2 linked regions of the Oryctolagus cuniculus genome follow. The protein of the gene in region 1 interacts with the protein of each later gene in a pairwise test. Links are inferred from orthologs where the notes say so. Each region holds a gene or a part of one and is shown on either strand. Other genes may lie near its edges.

Region 1 (4,459 bases):
CCTGGAGGAATTTCTAGCGTGTTCCTGGCCCCCCTGCTGCTGTCTGGGACCCCCGGCTGTATCCTCCACACAGGCCCTGGCCGCACTCCATCCCTGCTAGGCTTCCCAGGGTCACCTTCCCCAGAGACAGATGTGGGTGGGCGGAAACCACTGCCCAGGGGAGGCGCACACTGCCCACGGCCGGGTTCATCCCCTCCACCCACCGATGCGGCGGGCCTCCTGGACAGGGGGTGCAGTCAGCTGGACTTAGAGGCTTTGGGGAGAGAGCCTCAGGGGTCCGGTCTGGATAGTGACCCACATGCTGAGGACCCAGGAACGCGCAGGTCCCCTGGGGAGCCCCGTGGACTTTCCCTGCTGCCTGCCCTCCTGCAGCTGGTGCCCGGCCCTAGGCCTCCCAGCTAATCCCCACCATGCCCAACTGCCACCTCATCATGGCCAGGGAGACGGGCTGGCCCTGGACGCCCATGGGTGGCCGAGGGTCCTGCCTCAGCCAGGCCCCAAGGGGTTCAAAGTCCAGGGGTTGGAGGCAGCTAGGCCCAAGCCCCCACTCCTGGACACTGCTCCTCTGCCACGCCCCCAAGGCCCGAGGCTGGCGACGGCCCTGGCTCCTCCCTTCACGGCCCAGTACCCAGGGCACACCTGGCTCCCTTCCCATGACCCCACCCTGGAGTGACCCCACCCTGGAGCCAGCCCCAGCAAGTCCCGAGGCGCGGGCGTGGCCTCCGCGGGGACACCTTTTGACCTCTGAGGCTGTCGCTGGGCCCCAGAGGCTCTGCTGAGTCCACCTCGGCCCGGGCTTCCCCTCACCTGCGGGGCGCCGGGGTGCCCAGCCCGGGGCTCGGCCCTGGGTGCCCGCGGCCGCGGCGCTCTCCGACTCCGCCAGTTCTTCCGGCCGCGGGGCTGCGGCCCGGGAGCCATGGCAACCGGGCGGGGCCTCATCTGCATACCAGAATATTCATGAGGCGCGAGCCTCTCACGCGGCGCGCGGCCACGCCCCCTAGCGACGGCTGCAGGGCGGGGGTACCCGGGACCGTGCTGCACCTGCCGCGGCTCCCGCGCGGGAAGCCCGTCCTGAGACCCCCGCCACGGCCAGAGGGGACGCCCGGCGCAGAGCCGCACGCCCCGTTCCCCGCCTCCCGCTTCCTCCAGGGGAGTGCGGGTCTCTGCCCTTCGTGCGTGCAGCAACTTTTGGGCTCGGTCTGATGGGAACTTCGGGCCGGAAGGCGGACCTCTGGCCTTCCCCAGCGCCGGCCCCGCTGCCGTGCCCGCCCCTCCAGCCCGCCACGCGTTCCCTCGGCACCCGCAGAACTCGGTGCGGGGCCCCGGCTCGGCCGAGGCCTGCCGGGCACCGCCCTGCGAGCCACTCCCGGAAGCCCCGCCCGGTCGCGCTTCCTGACGGACGGGCCGCTCAGCCAACCGCGTGGGGTGTGGCTCGGCCGAGCGCGTCCAATGATAGGCTGCGCCGGGCTGACGGACGGGCGCGGGGGCGGGGCAGGCGCGGCCGCGGTCGAGTGTCCGTCGCCCGCTGCCGGCGCCCGCAGCCTGAGCCGCACCCGGCGCGGACGGAGCCCATGCGCGGGGCGAGCCGCGCGCTTGGACCCCGCGCCCGCCCCCGCCCCCGCCCCGGCCCCGGCCCCGGGGGCAGTCGCGCCCGTGAGCGGTGAGTGCGGGCGGGGCGGGGGCGGGGGCCCGGCGCCCCCTCCCGGCCCTGCTGGCGGCGGCGCGGGGCGGGCGCGCGTGCGGGCCGGGGGCGGCGGCGGGGCGGGGGGCGGCGTCCGCGGCCCCTTCCTGGCGTCCCTGTGGCTGCGGGCCCCCGGGACCAGGCCCCGCCTGCGCCATGGCGCCGGGCGCCGTCTCCTCCCCGCGCTGCCCAGGGCTCGGAGAGGCCCAGCGCCGCGGCCACCGTGGCCCTCAGGGCCGCCAGGGCGCCCCGCCCTGCACGCCGCGACCCGGGGCGCGCCGGCTCGGGGTCCGGGCCTCCCCTGCGCTGCCCCTGCGCTAGGGCTGAGCCCCTGTTTGCCGGAACCCCTGCGCGTTTCTCCGAGGACTTTGGGGCCGGTGGACACCCCGGGGAGCCGACATCCTGGGGACCCCAGAGGGCGGGGATTGCGCCCCAGGCCCCCTGTCCCTCGGGCCGCGGCGGCACCTGCATGCGGTGCGCGCTCGGTAATGCTGTTCGGACGCACCCCCGGGCCCGGCGGCTGGCTGACGCTGGCCTGCCTGGGCAGGCTGTGGCCCGGCCGGCCGCGGCAGGACCTGTTCTGGGAGGCTAACCTCAGCCCTCAGGCCCTGCGGGTTGTGCGTTCTGCCTACACAGCAGCTTCTAATTTGGGTGCGTGGTTGGGAGAAGCTCTCAGCTGTCAGCCCTGCCTTTGGGGGTAGGCGCCCTGCCTTGCTCACGCTGTCGCTGGTGCGGCGGGGTGGGGAGGCGGCACCCCTCCCGCCCCCTGGATGGCGGCTGGCCCAGGTGGGCAGCTGGGCCGCCGTCCTGGCCGTCGGAGCTGCGGGCCTGGCTGAGCGTGGCCCTCCTTGGCAGGCGGGGCAGGAGACCCCACAGCGCCGGGCAGCCCGCGAGCAGCGCGCGATGACGGAGTATAAGCTGGTGGTGGTGGGCGCCGGCGGTGTAGGCAAGAGCGCACTGACCATCCAGCTGATCCAGAACCACTTCGTGGACGAATATGACCCCACCATCGAGGTGAGCCCGGCGACCCCTCCCCTGGGCGGCCAGCGCCGGTAGCCTGCCGCCACGCGGTCCCTGAGACGCCGCCTCCCGCAGGACTCGTACCGGAAGCAGGTGGTCATCGACGGGGAGACGTGCCTGCTGGACATCCTGGACACGGCGGGCCAGGAGGAGTACAGCGCCATGCGGGACCAGTACATGCGCACGGGCGAGGGCTTCCTCTGCGTGTTCGCCATCAACAACACCAAGTCCTTCGAGGACATCCACCAGTACAGGTGAGCGCCGCGGGGCGCGCACGGGGGCGCTGGCCAGGCCGGCAGTGCGCGCCCCGGCTCACGCCTGCCGCTCCCAGGGAGCAGATCAAGCGGGTGAAAGACTCGGACGACGTGCCCATGGTGCTGGTGGGGAACAAGTGCGACCTGGCGGCGCGCACCGTGGAGTCCCGGCAGGCGCAGGACCTGGCCCGCAGCTACGGCGTCCCCTATATCGAGACCTCGGCCAAGACGCGGCAGGTGAGCCCGGCCCCGCCCCCAGCCGCCCAGGGACGCCCCGGCCCCACCCCGCCCCCGCCAGGGAGCAGTGCTCACAGCCCCTCTCCCTCGACGCAGGGCAGCCGCTCTGGCTCTGGCTCCAGCTCCGGGACCCTCTGGGACCCCCCGGGACCCATGTGACCCAGCGGCCCCTCGCGCTGTAAGTCTCCCCGGACGGCAGGGCAGTGAGGGAGGCGAGGGCCGGGGTCTGGGCTCACGCCCTGCAGTCCTGGGCTGACGCAGCCCCAGGGGAGGGGGGGTCCCTAGAGAGAGCTGCCCTGAGCCAGGCTGGAGCGGTGACCCTGGGCCCCTGCCCCTCTGTCCCCAGTGTCCCACGGGTTCCTGTGGGTTCTGAGCCCTGTAGCTCACCAGCCGGGCGCAGAGTTGGGGTGGGGAGGTGAGCCTGCCCACGGGGGCGGCCCGGGAAGCTGCCGACGAGCAGGGAGGGGCAAGGGTTCAGCCTGAGCCCTCGGCGGGAAACAGCGGGTCCCCCGGTGGCCGCGCCCTGAGCCCGCTCCTCCCTTCCAGGGCGTGGAGGACGCGTTCTACACGCTGGTGCGGGAGATCCGGCAGCATAAGCTGCGGAAGCTGAACCCGCCCGACGAGAGCGGCCGCGGCTGTCTGAGCTGCAAGTGTGTGCTGTCCTGAGCAGGTGAGCCGGGGCCGCCGGCCCGTGGGTTCCCGCCCGGCCCCACGCCCCCGCCCGGCCCCACGCCCTTGCCCGGCCCCACGCCCCCGCCCGGCCCCACGCCCCCGCCCGGCCCCACGCCCCTGCCCGGCCCCACGCCCCCGTGTGCCCCACGCCCCTGCCCGGCCCCACGCCCCCGCCCGGCCCCACGCCCCCGCCCGGCCCCACGCCCCTGCACGGCCCCACGCCCCCGCCCGGCCCCACGCCCCCGCCCGGCCCCATGCCCTTGCCCGGCCCCACACGTGCCCCACGCCCCCGCCCGGCCCCACGCCCTTGCCCGGCCCCACACGTGCCCCACGCCCCCGCCCGGCCCCACGCCCCCGCCCGGCCCCATGCCCTTGCCCGGCCCCACACGTGCCCCACGCCCCCGCCCGGCCCCACGCCCTTGCCCGGCCCCACACGTGCCCCACGCCCCCGCCCGGCCCCACGCCCCCGCCCGGCCCCACGCCCCCGCCCGGCCCCACGCCCCTGCACGGCCCCACGCCCCCGCCCGGCCCCACGCCCCTGCCCGGCCCCACGCCCCCGTGTGCCCCACGCCCCCGCCCGGCCCCACGCCCCTGC
Region 2 (4,488 bases), on another chromosome or scaffold:
AAGTGTTCATTCTAGATGGTCAGCACATCTCCTTGGGGACTGGCTGCCCTCCACACGGGGGTGGGGCCTTTGGAGACTCAGTGCCGGGCTGGCAGGCAGTCAGCAAAGCCCCATGCTTCTCCCACAGAGGTTCACGTTTGTGGATGGGCCCCTCAGCCTACCTCCTTAAGTCCCCCAATTCCTTACCCCCTTCTTGCTTCTCTTCCAGAAAACCCAGTGAGGGCACCCGCCACCACCACGCGGACGCCTCCATCATCTCTGGCCCGAGCTACTGCAGTGGCCCCGCAAAATATTACCGCACCATCTGCTCCTACTCCCTCGTTTCCCGCCACTGAGTGGCTTTTCTAAAAGACACAAATCACAGGGCATTCATCTTCGAACTCTAGGGCAATGGTTCTCACAGTTTTTGGTCTCAGGACCTCTTAGAAATCATCAAGGACCTCAGAGAGCTGTGTGCATGACGAGTAGCGCTATTTACCGTATTTAAAGCTATTTACCGTATTTAAATGACACGCACACGTCCCATTTGCTGTGAGGGGGACGGTGTGGCTTCACATCAGGTGGCTTTCTGGGCAGCGCCACCGCACACTCCCTGAAAATGATGCTGGACACGATGTTGGCGCGATCCGCTCTTGATTCTACATACCCCCCCCCCCCCAGAACTAGACTCGGGGGCCTCGGGGACAGAGACCACACTTGAAGAACCAGGGCTCTAGGGCCAGATCCATTCTTCTGGCTCCTGCCAACGTGTCCCCTCGCGCGGGAGCCCCCAGCCTCCTCCCGGCGCCCCTTCCACAGGACGGTTCTCCTTTCCCCCGGTGAGCTCAACGCCGCCCGCCGGGCCCGGGCTCGGGCCCCAGCGCTCTGCCCCCTCTGCTGGTCACCCCTCACGCTCCCTGCGCTCCAGGCCGGGTCAGCCTCCTCGTCCTCCCGGGCTGGGGGCTTCTCCAGGGCAGGCAGCGGCCCGGCGACGCCCACCAGAGGGCGCTCCTCTAAAAGCTGCTGATGCTGGAGGACGGGAGCGGCGACCGCGCGGCTTAGGGACTCTGAGGGGCGGGGGTCGGGTCTAATCGTGTGGCAATAAAGTTGTCTTCCGGTACTTCCAACTGGATCTCATTCTGCCCCAATGAACCTTCCAGTCACATCGGGCCCCGATCTCCCAAAGGGGCCCAGAGCATCCACCACCCAGGCGAAACAGTTTGAGTGCTCGCCACAGGTCGCCAAGGAGCCGACTCCCCGCGGGAGCGAGACGACGCCGCGCGCCAGCGGAGGTCCGGGCCCCGAGCACCGGAAACCCCGGAGCCCCGAACCTGGGACCGGAAGTGGCGGCTTCCTGTCCCGCCTCCTCACAAGAGGGCGGGAACTGGGGGCTCTTCGGAAAACCCGGAGTGGATTTCGGTCCGCTGCCAGGCTTGGTTGCAATGGGGAGTGTGGCCCGGGGGTAGGAGCCCGGGGTCTTTCCCCGCCTAGAATGCTTGCCGCGGGAGATTTAGCCTCGCTCTTGTGGAGAAGGCATTGTTTAATTCTGCATCTGTCCTCCCCGGGGTCTAGAGACTGGAATCTTTAGTCCCACTCAGTGCGCGGCGACGTGGGCTCCGGAATCCCCGAGTGGGGGCGGGGAGGACACTGGCGCCGGGGACCCGCGCTCCCGGGTCCCGGACCCTGGGCCGTCCAGCGCTGCCCTGGTCCGCGGCCCTGGCTCCTGTTCTCACTTCCTTCCCCTTTTGGCTCCTGCTCTCGGAGCGGGCGGACGCGGGGGGGAGCGGAAAGGGCGGGAGGGCCAGAGAGCGGACGGAGGGGTGCAAGGGGGGTGGTGCGGCGAAGCCGAGGAGGGGACTCGGTCGGGGGCCAGAGGACGACCGGAACAGCGGCCTGGGACCCACGCTGCCCCCACCCCTCCCGAGCAGGTCAGAGCCAGAGCACCCTGTGACCCTGCCCGCTCCCCGTCCTTGTGAGCCTCTCCTCTGCAGAGCGCACCCAGGGCCCCCAGTGTCCAACCCCCGCGTCGCCCGCCTGCCCCGGCCTCCTGCAGGACTCTCATCTGGGCGCCTGGACGCTCGCGCCCGCCTGACCCCGCCACCCGCACCCCTCCCCCGTCTCTCTCCAGGCGCCCCCATGGCCCGACCCCGCTGACTCCTGCACTCGGCCATGCTCCCGCGGCCCCTGCGGCTGCTTTTGGACACGAGCCCCCCCGGGGGAGTCGTGCTGAGCAGCTTCCGGAGCCGAGACCCCGAAGCGGGTGGGGACCCAGGTGGCCGGGTCGTGGGCGGGGGGCAGGCGCAAGAGGAGGAGGAGGAAGAAGAAGAGGTGAGACGCGGGCGGCGGGAGGCAGGGGCGTGAACGTGGCCGAGACTGTCCGCCTTTCTCCCGCTGCCTCTGGGCCCTGCCTCTCCCCTCCCTCCCAGCTCCAGGGACTTCCGCGCCTCGGCCTGGGTGTGTGCCAGCCGCCCTGCCGCAGGGAGTGCTGGCGTCTGTGGTTTGTGTCAGTGCGGCTCGGGAGCTGTCCGCAGGAACATGCCCTGGTCCTGCCCGGCCGTCCCGGCTGGTCCCCGGCCTTCCCTGCCTACACCTGAGAGTGCCCGCCTCTCTGGGCGCTGGGGTCGCGCTCCCCGTCGCCCTCCTGGGTTTTGTTTGGCGGGGAGGGGTTTGTTGCCACAGTAACCAGCTTCTCTGACTCTGGGATTGGGGAGGGAACCCTCTGGTTTCTTGACCCCTCCCCTTCCCAGCGTCCCTCCCCCTCCCGCTGCCTGGTGCTTAGGCCGAGGCTGGACACACGGGGTGGTCATCTGCTTTTCCTGGGGACGAATGATGGTGGCCAGGAGCAGGGTTTGGGGCCTCAAGAGAGGCCGGAAGTTGGTTTTGGGGCCCTCGGGCCCTGGACTCCCGGGTCCAGACCTGAGTGAAGGCAGGGAGACTGGCAGGGCTGGTTTTTCGAGATTGGCAGGGGGGAGGGGCTGGGGCCACGTGACTCTTGAATCCACCCCCCCCATCATCCCCACTTCCCCTTCTCCTTCCTGTATTGGGATTGGAGCAGCTACCTTTGGGGTCCCCAGGACTGAGATAGTGGAGGCCCCCTAGCCGGGGAACCAGGGTAGAAGAGGGCGGGGGAGAAGGAGGGTCCTTGGTTGGGAGGGCGGGGCATGAGGCCGCTCTGCCGGTGACTGGGCTTTCAGCTTCTCTGTGCCTCTGGTGCTCTGCCTCTCCTGCCCTTTGCGCCCTGCTCCTCTGCTGTGTTGGGGTTCAGCTCTGGGGGGAAGGGGCTTTGGGGGTCTCCAGGATCAGAGTTTCTGCACTCCATCCGCTCCCCAACTGCAATCCCCTCGACTCCATCGGGCCCTGAGGCGGCTAGGGGGGGGCTGTCTGGGCCCCAGTGGGAGAGACCTGGGGTCGCCAGCCCCCCCGGCCCCCCGCACCCGCTGGTACTGGTCCCTGCCGCCACAGGTGAGGGGTGCAGAGGGAGGCGGAGGGCCCGGGCGAGGGCTGGGCAGTGGGCGGTGGTGTGTGGAACTCTATGACTTCCCCTTCCTCGCCGCTGCAGGCCCCCGTGTCTGTGTGGGAAGAGGAGGAGGATGGCGCCACGTTTACCGTCACAAGCCGCCAGTACCGGCCTCTTGACCCCTCGGTGAGATGGTGGCTCTGACTCCGCTCTGGCTGACTTTCTGGCCCGAGTGCTAGGTTGGACATCTGCTGTCCTGATGGTCTTTGGCCCCTCTCTGGGTCTCAGCAACATGAACTGGCTTAACGTCTAGATCTGGGACTGTCCCCGAGACCCAGGGGCAGAACTGAGGGCGGAAGTCAGTGATGGGTCTTCTGCATCCTGCAGGCTCCCCTGCCTCCCCCGCGTTCTTCCCGACGGCTCCGAGCTGGCACCCTGGTGGCCTTGGTCAGACACCTGCTGGACCCTCAGACGTCAGGGGCTGATGTGACCTTCGTGTCCGCCCTCCTGGCCACCCACCGGGCCTTCACCTCCACGCCTGCCCTGCTAGGGCTCGTGGCTGACAGGTGAGGGACCTAAGGGACCAAGGATCATGGCGGTGTCGGGATTTCCTGAAGCCCCCAGCATCCCACAGCGGGGCGAGGCGGGGCGAGGCGGGCAGGGGGATGTGGTTGGAGAGATGTCCTTCCCTCTGCAGACTGGAAGCACTTGAGTCTCATCCTGCTGATGAACTAGAGCGGACAACAGGGTGAGTGACCCCGGATTCTTAGCCTCGCCGTCCCCTCCGCACCAGCTGCAGCCTGACCTCTGACCCTTGGCTGATTCCCCTTCTCCCAGGGTAGCCATCTCTGTCCTGTCCACCTGGCTGGCCTCTCACCCTGAGGATTTTGGCTCTGAGGTCAAGGGTCAGCTTGACCGCCTTGAGAGCTTCTTGCTCCGGACAGGGTATGCAGCAGGGGAGGGTGTTGGGGGGGGCACCGCTGACCTCATCCGAAACCTCCGGTCTCGGGTGGACCCCCAGGCCCCCGACCTTCCTAAGCCCCTGGCCCTCC

Evidence for each region.
Region 2: the proteins of HRAS (region 1) and RGL2 interact in binary tests that used the Homo sapiens proteins (3 or more experiments, as listed by UniProt). The link is inferred for Oryctolagus cuniculus from reciprocal best matches to the Homo sapiens genes HRAS and RGL2.

What each region holds. Positions count from the first base shown.
Region 1 is NC_091432.1:196,824-201,282, reverse strand, and holds the start of HRAS (GTPase HRas), read left to right. Parts: upstream 1-1,476; 5' UTR 1,477-1,660; intron 1,661-2,536; 5' UTR 2,537-2,584; coding exon 2,585-2,695; intron 2,696-2,776; coding exon 2,777-2,955; intron 2,956-3,032; coding exon 3,033-3,192; intron 3,193-3,288; exon of another isoform or gene 3,289-3,370; intron 3,371-3,738; coding exon 3,739-3,858; 3' UTR 3,859-3,862; intron 3,863-4,459. UniProt on the Homo sapiens protein: Involved in the activation of Ras protein signal transduction. Ras proteins bind GDP/GTP and possess intrinsic GTPase activity.
Region 2 is NC_091436.1:135,823,808-135,828,295, forward strand, and holds the start of RGL2 (ral guanine nucleotide dissociation stimulator-like 2), read left to right. Parts: upstream 1-1,635; 5' UTR 1,636-1,907; intron 1,908-2,107; 5' UTR 2,108-2,148; coding exon 2,149-2,307; intron 2,308-3,538; coding exon 3,539-3,622; intron 3,623-3,823; coding exon 3,824-4,002; intron 4,003-4,133; coding exon 4,134-4,184; intron 4,185-4,273; coding exon 4,274-4,488. Other genes in the region: TAPBP (tapasin), read left to right, coding at 209-335. UniProt on the Homo sapiens protein: Probable guanine nucleotide exchange factor. Putative effector of Ras and/or Rap. Associates with the GTP-bound form of Rap 1A and H-Ras in vitro.